Linked DNA regions of Caenorhabditis elegans. The protein of the gene in region 2 interacts with the protein of the main gene of each other region in a pairwise test. Each region holds a gene or a part of one and is shown on either strand. Other genes may lie near its edges.

The links. Proteins that work in one complex are often made in the same cells at the same time.
Region 1: the proteins of F23A7.4 (region 2) and rrc-1 interact in a two-hybrid assay, tested with the Caenorhabditis elegans proteins (one large-scale study listed by BioGRID).

The regions. Positions count from the first base shown.
Region 1 is NC_003284.9:9,828,241-9,833,071, forward strand, and holds the start of rrc-1 (GTPase-activating protein rrc-1), read right to left. Parts: upstream 3,049-4,831; 5' UTR 2,971-3,048; coding exon 2,900-2,970; intron 2,064-2,899; exon of another isoform or gene 1,915-2,063; coding exon of another isoform or gene 1,895-1,914; intron 1,512-1,894; exon of another isoform or gene 1,427-1,511; intron 996-1,426; coding exon 846-995; intron 611-845; coding exon 481-610; intron 432-480; coding exon 348-431; intron 1-347. UniProt on the Caenorhabditis elegans protein: Functions as a GTPase-activating protein (GAP) for ced-10/rac-1 and CDC42.
Region 2 is NC_003284.9:16,210,690-16,213,317, reverse strand, and holds F23A7.4 (RT_RNaseH_2 domain-containing protein), read right to left. Parts: upstream 713-2,628; coding exon 506-712; downstream 1-505.

The DNA of each region.
Region 1 (4,831 bases), 6.4 Mb from region 2:
AATATGCACTGCAGTTAAGAGCGAGTGGTGTCAAAATCATAAGAAGAACAAGATATTTTTTCAAGGTTGTACTAGAACTCACCAATTTTGTGAGAAAGGTTCAAATAATTGAATAACTCTTTGAAATACAGACTTACTATTCTGTCAGAAAGGAAAACAAATTTTCCTATCTGAAATGTTTGCAATACTTGAAATGAAATATTTATCGTCTTGGGTTCATTTGGTTTATTCGAATCTTTTTTAATTTAACTTTTCTAATTTGAAGAGATACTGTAAAAAGTCTAAACCATAGCCAGTTTTAAATTTAAATTAAATTGAAGTTTGGAGTTAAAAACAATTTCGCTTACTTCTAAAAATTTCAGAACAGGATAGCACGTTATAATGCTGCCAGTGAGTTCCGATAATCGCTCCGTATACTTGACAAGAACTTCCTGTAAACATCAAATGTGATGACTAGTGATTTTGAAAAGAAGCCGTCACCTCGAACTTTGCCGTTTCCAGATGAATAAGAGGAAACAGCTCGTCAAGTCGTGAATGCCTTCGTTCGAACACACAACGATGCAGCTGTCTGTCGAAGACTGCCCAATCCTCCCGAGAACGTTCGACAAGCCTGAATGAATCAATGATGGAAAACCTTTCAAGTTTCCGTTTTTCTTTCTTTTTTCTTTTTTGTTCTTCCTCGTACTAACTTTATTCAGCCTTTATTCTCATCTCCCATGAGACTTCACTCGTGGCTTTTTTGTTTGATTTCTGTGTGGCAGAACATTGAAAGAAAAACCGAGAGAAACACCACGGAGCACGAATTTTTGAAGACAAATTGGAAACAGAAGGAATGACCAACTCACCATGAATTTGATTCACTTTCCACACGCATTTTTATCCGCTCTGTTGCATTCTCGTCAGCGTTTATTGCGATGATGGCAACACGGACGGGACCCAATTCAACAGACGAATAATGGAAGTGTTGACAGTCGACTAGTCGTTGAATGCGAAGACTGAAACACAATAAATTGTTGATATTCAACGAAATAAACAGTGAAGTAGTATATGAATTATTTCCAGCTAGCAAAATTTGCTTCTTTCAAAAATTTTTCAACTCACAAAGTTGATACTAAAACATTAATATTCCAATTAAAATGTTTGTGGTGAAGAAATGTAAAGATATTTTCTTGAAAGAACGCCGCAACATATCTACCAACCTTATCAGCTTTAGGAATGCATTTAGTGAAAAACTGGCTAAAGTTGGGTAAAATAAATTAAAGTTGGGGATGCGCTGAAAACTTTGCACTGAAAATGTTTCTATAGTGGCCTAAACTTGGTTAAAAAGGGCTGAAGTAGTTACAATTATTTAATGTACAGTTCGAATTATTTTTCTTTTAATGGTTATTCTTTGGTAAAACTTGATTTAATAGTAAAAAAAGGATATTGCCCCGGGCGGGATTCGAACCCGCGACTGGTTTAACCCAATGAGATCATAAGTCTCACGCCTTCGACCGCTCGGCCACCGGGGCACTGATTCTGAAAAATGTGCATCTCGTTGAAAACTGCTTGAATTGCTAAAATTGGTGGATAATTTGATGCGAATTGCCGAACGCCTGCCATTCTTGTTGTAACGGTAAAAAAAATAAATTTTTGATATCAATATTTTTCAAAAACTCACAGTACTCGATGTTGCACTGTAACCAATAGTAAATTTTTTATGTACAACAATACACTTCATTATTTTTCCAATTTTATTGCACTGTTTTATCTGGGCAACCGATAAACACAAAAACCACCTTTTTCTAAATTCACCTAACTAAATTTTTTGCAAATAAATGGATATAATGAGGGAGACCGTAAGTGAATTTTTTGATTTATAAACATTCTACTACAAATTCAACATATTTTGTACCCTGGTATTTCTGGATCCATCTTTGCAAGTAGTCAGTGAATAGATAAAGTCCAAAATAAAGTCATTCAATCAATTACATGAAATATTGAGATGGAATAGATAGGAGCCGAGAGGTCTCTCCTCAAGGTTCTGTTGGTGAGTGTGTAATCCCACGCTCACTACATCGTACGCTAGCTGCACTCGCCGGTCGTGGCGGTAGACAAGCGGATAAGCGATGAAACATTCAATTTTGATTGGGATGAAAGGGGAGAAAGAGATGGACCAGAGAGTGATTGCAGAAAAATCAAATTGCAAAATGTGGGCCACTGGTTAGATTTATGGAAGGACATTTATCAAAAGGTTGTTGGAAGCAATTCAATGTTTCGAAACGTTTTTAGTAAAACTGGAGAATTTTAGACCTTTCACATAGTTATTTTTCAAGAACAAAAATACAAGACAGGTCTGTATTGCAACTCTTAGAATTGCTTCAAGACGTCTTGGTAAAAATATTTATTTTAAGCAGATTGTAGAATCAGTTGTAGCACGAAGAAAAAACAAACCAAACTGTTACTCTTCTTTTAACAATTTCTTATGCATATGATGTGAATTGTTGTTTTTACAGTAAAATTGAAGTTGTCTACATAAAATTAAATTTATGTTTCAAATATACTTTGAAAAAAAGTTCCACAACAGAAGGGAAATTACGTTACACGATGGCCCACAATTATAGGCCACCCTGCATCATTAACACGGTGCTTAAAAAATTATTATACTTTTTTTGAAAGCTTTTGAAACAAGTTGGATGAATCTAAATGTCGGGTTTCGCCCGTTTTTCTCTTAATTCTTTTCCGATTAGCTCAAATGGTTAATTCCAGACCTCAAATCTTTATTCAAAATATCTTTTGCGCAAGCAAAGATAAGTATTTTGAAAACGAAATGTTAAATTTGAGTGCATTAGGATTCTGGCAAACCTAAATCATTAAATTTTTTAAAGTTTGAAAATCTAAAAAATTTCGAAAAATCTACCTTCTTCCGTTTCTGCGTGCAAATGGGCTTTTGGGAGATAAAGGTGCAAATGATTCCTCGATGCCTTCCATTTTTTACATCACTTTAAATGAATACGTTGCTTTTCAAATGTTTTTACCAGTTTTTGTTGTCCTCGTTATCCTTCCTGAAAATGGCAACCGGAAGTCATGAGAATAAAAGGTAAACGTGTGGTGTTTGAGGAAAAATACATGTTATAAACACACGCTTTGCTTATAGATCGGTTCGATTATTTACATGCAAACATCATGTCAATTTGTGTTGGCAAATGAGAAGTGACGGCTTTTAGTTAGGAAAGCGGGACGAAAAGGGGGCAATCAGGAAAATCAGTTAAATTGTCGTGTGACTGAAGGAGTAAATATGGGTTCTGTTTGGAAGTTGTCAAAAATTGAGCAATGACATAGGAAGGCAGGCGTTGTTAGGAGCCAACAACCAAGAATCTTCAGACATGTGTTAAAAAATCATGTGGCCAGAAACATCTTGTTCGAGAGTTTTAGGATAAAACTGAAGATTATGATTAAGATTTTAGATATATATGTACCTCGTTTCGTGATATTTGAAGATAAACGTTGTGAGGAAGTGAGTTTCTGATGTTGTAACTTTTAAGTGGAAACTCTATTTTTGAAATTAAAAAAAGAAGGTTTTGAAGCCATACACTCAAATTTAATATGGTTCCAGAGCAAAATTTATCTGGATTATTAGAAATTTATCATAAAATTTAAAAAGGGTCGTATAATTCTACACAAAAAACCAAAACTAAAAATAAAATAAAGCAATTTATATTTTATATTATATTCTTTATGCTTCTAAACTTTTGATTAAATATACACAAATTTCACATAATTTTCTCGGAAAATGTGTTGTTTTTTAGAACACATACAATTAACGTTTATCACTCGACTGGGTAGAACAAAAAACGCAAAAAGAAAAAAAGCTCAGGTTGGTTCCAAAAATTCATCAACACTTGTGACACCTAGCAAAAAAGATAACCAAGCTCTTCAGGGGCAGCAGCCAACACGGATCCGTGCCGGGTTTCCGGTTTTCTAACGCAGTGGACAGCTGCTGTTGTTAAGGAGGAGAGAAAGTACAAGCCATTTGAAACCAAATTCTAGGCACAACAGGTGTCAGGATTTTCATGGATGGTTAAGGATGAGAAAGAACTGGTTGAACGATTGATGCTAATCAGTATGATTTTGAGTCAAAAATGATAAAACGAAGGGTTATTAGTGTGTTATATTTCCGGACGCTTCATCTTCTTCATCTTCAAAGTTTCGGTCTAAAGATAAAGAAGATAGCAACGGGTCCCGAGTTTCTCTCTTCGTCTCATCAACCAATCTCCGTCGTCTTGTCTCTACGTATCACAATTCTGGCGAAGCACACACACACACATACGTTCTTCTTTTTCTACCCCTATGCTCTTTAGCTGCTGCTCTTCTGTGGAGCACTCGATACAAATCTACCACCTGACACTATCACCGCATTGGGTGAGACGGGCTTGCTGGTTCAAATGTTCTTGCAGACAAAAATGACCGTCATATGCTCTAGCTTCTTTTTTTTCAACTACTCTTTGGTAATTTAAGAAATATGGATACCTAAAGTTGATCTGACAATTAAAATGTATTTGTGCAAAAGGGAAAACAAATTGTTAGTAATATTATGAGCTGTAACTTGTAAATAACCTTACTAGAACATATTATATAGTGCCAGAACAATTGTAGAAAGAATTACCGTGTTTCCTGAATCAATCTTGCTTGTAAGACAAATTTTGGATTGACCCGTAGAGGTGAAAGACTAATAAAGACTGCAACACTATTAGAGGCTGCAAAACTAATAGAAAAAATACGGAACTCATTTTTTGACAAAAAATACAACAAAGTTCGAAAAATGTGTTATGACAAAAAAGTTACCAACATA
Region 2 (2,628 bases):
GCTCGTACGTCTCAGAATGTTGAGTAGTGTCGGGGTACTGCAGTGAGACTATAGGGGTACTGTAGGAGTACGGTAGTACTGTAGTTTTGAACATTTGTGGGATATATATCTCCGTATTATTAAATGTTGGTTTTCAGATATCGGAATTAAAGAGTGCACTGAAATTTTACTTTCGAGAGAAACGTAAATGCCGAGTTTTCAAGAATAACAACAACGCGCGAAAGCGTAAAAAACAATTTTTTTTTGGGAGTGGAGTTAAGCTCCAACTCTAGAATAGCCCTTTCGATTTTTGTTTCGTCCATCGACATAAGACATTGGGTTTGATGGAAGACCCAATGAATACTCAACAATCTCCAGGCTGAGCAAACCTGGGGGGACTAGGCCGGACTTGAACTCGTGACCTTCAAAATTAAAAAATGCAGAATTAAAAAATGCACCGATGTCGTGTTTTTGAGGAAAACGAAAAAGCGCGAAAACGCAAATTTTTTTTTTTTTGGGAGCGGAGTTAAGCTCCAACTCCAGAATAGACCATGCGATTTTTTTCCGACACCACCATCGACATAAGACATTGGGTTTGATGGCAACCCAATGAATACTCATCAATCTCCAGGCTGAGCAAACCTGGGGGGACTAGGCCGGACTTGAACTCGTGACCTGTCGATTGCAAGTCAGTGTTGTAACCAACTGAGCTATCGACGCCCCATTGCAGCATGACTTAATTGGAATTTACATAACCGCTCGCGGAAAACGATAAATGCAAGCGGCAAGCTCGTACTTCTCGGAATGCAGAGTAGTGTCGCGGTACTGCAGTGAGACTATAGAGGTACTGTAGGAGTACGGTAGTACTGTATATATTCATTCATTCACCAATCCTTTCATAAAAATGGCGTGATATTTGGAAAATAAAATTCACCAGAGAATTATTACTGTAGGTTCTTATAATTTGCAATGTTACGTTTAATATTGACTTGTTTTGCATTGTTTGCAGATTCTAGAGCAGATTCTAGAGTAAGAAATCGAGAGAAAAGATCTACAAACAAGAATTGTTGTTGCAGAGTTTTGGACAATAGCAGTGCACATTTGGGCAGCCTATCGTCCTCTTCCCGGTTTTTCGGCGCAATAATTATGGTCGTTTTATTGCAAATCGACATCTATAAATGTTTTTTCTGTTTGTTTTTGTAGATATTGGTATGATCTCCTTTAATATAAACTGTTTTACTAGTTAATAATTATTTTTTAATTTTCATTGTAAAACTGCTTCAAGATAAGAACTTTATTTGTATTTTTCAATATTCCGACTATCATGTACACCATGGTAAGTAGGATGGTAGGGTGCATTCTTGGTACATCAAACGGGCAGTTTTGCGCATAATGACGTACACTTCTGCAGTTATGCAATTTTGGCCAATGATAAGTCGGTGATAAGTGTTTTCAATCAGAACTATATATTTTAGTACACATGTAAGATTAGGCAAACCTTTAATTCCAATACGTTGTCTATTTATTTCTACCCAAATTGATTTTTTCAAACAATTTTTTAAACACTAGCCATAGCCAAAATGGGTTACTTATACAATAGCTACTATCAAATTTCAGTTGTCCAGAGTAAATTGTTTCTTCTCTCTAATCGCGTAGTAGTTCTGAATCTTAAAAATCTGAATCTTAAGAAACTTTAAATGAATTAACACATCCTACACGTATTTTTCCCCTATTTTTCCCCTCCCTCTGTTATACAGCGTTTTCTAGAACTCGTATTAAAAATTTATAAGAGAAAATTCCTAAGATGGCTTTTTTAGAGTTCAAAATTCCGCCGCTTCAATTTTATGTGATCTTTCGATTGGTATAAGTATTATCCTTCTCGGTTTTTCGGATATGCAGTTTGAGCATCTTGGTACATTTTCTCCCGTCTCCTCTCTCTCTCCCCTTCTTTGCCACTTTTTGGCTGGGTTCCAGATATCGATCACACAAAAACCTATTACGACGCGTTTAGAGCGCTCATCCCATTCCAGGTGGTGCAGTTTCTCAATAAGTAATTTTTACTAGCTAGCCGATGGTTGTTTATTTGTGAGCTTTATTCCATCAGGCAGTTTCTCATTCATTTATCTGGTTAATTTCTTATTCACATTGACTTAACTTTTTCCAATGTCAGCGGATCTAGCACAATCTATTTTCATTCTTTTTTTTCTTCAAGTAAAGATATAAATTCAGACAACGTTATTTTTGCCTATTTATCTTGTACTGAATGTAACGCCGCGCTCTAGCCACCTCCAATTTCATCATTTGTACCTAAACATTGTCCCTCTTGCTACATAATAGCATTATGAAATCCTACGCGCATTTTATCCTATCCACCTATTCTCCTCCTTTCTTCGCCCATTTTTGCAAGATTCCAGGTATCGATTTTTTTATTGCACAGAAATCTGTAACGCCGCGTTCAGAGGACCCCCTCACTCAACTGCAGACTATGCATTGCTTCATTGTGTCATTATTTCTCTCACTGTATTAGTTGTTCTTTTCTTTTGGCCGAATTGAGGCATTGTCTAGTTTAGACGTCTAGTATTGCCAAGTCTAGAATTATTTCTCTTGTTCACATCCTAAGTATACTAATCGTTTAATTATTTGTTATTT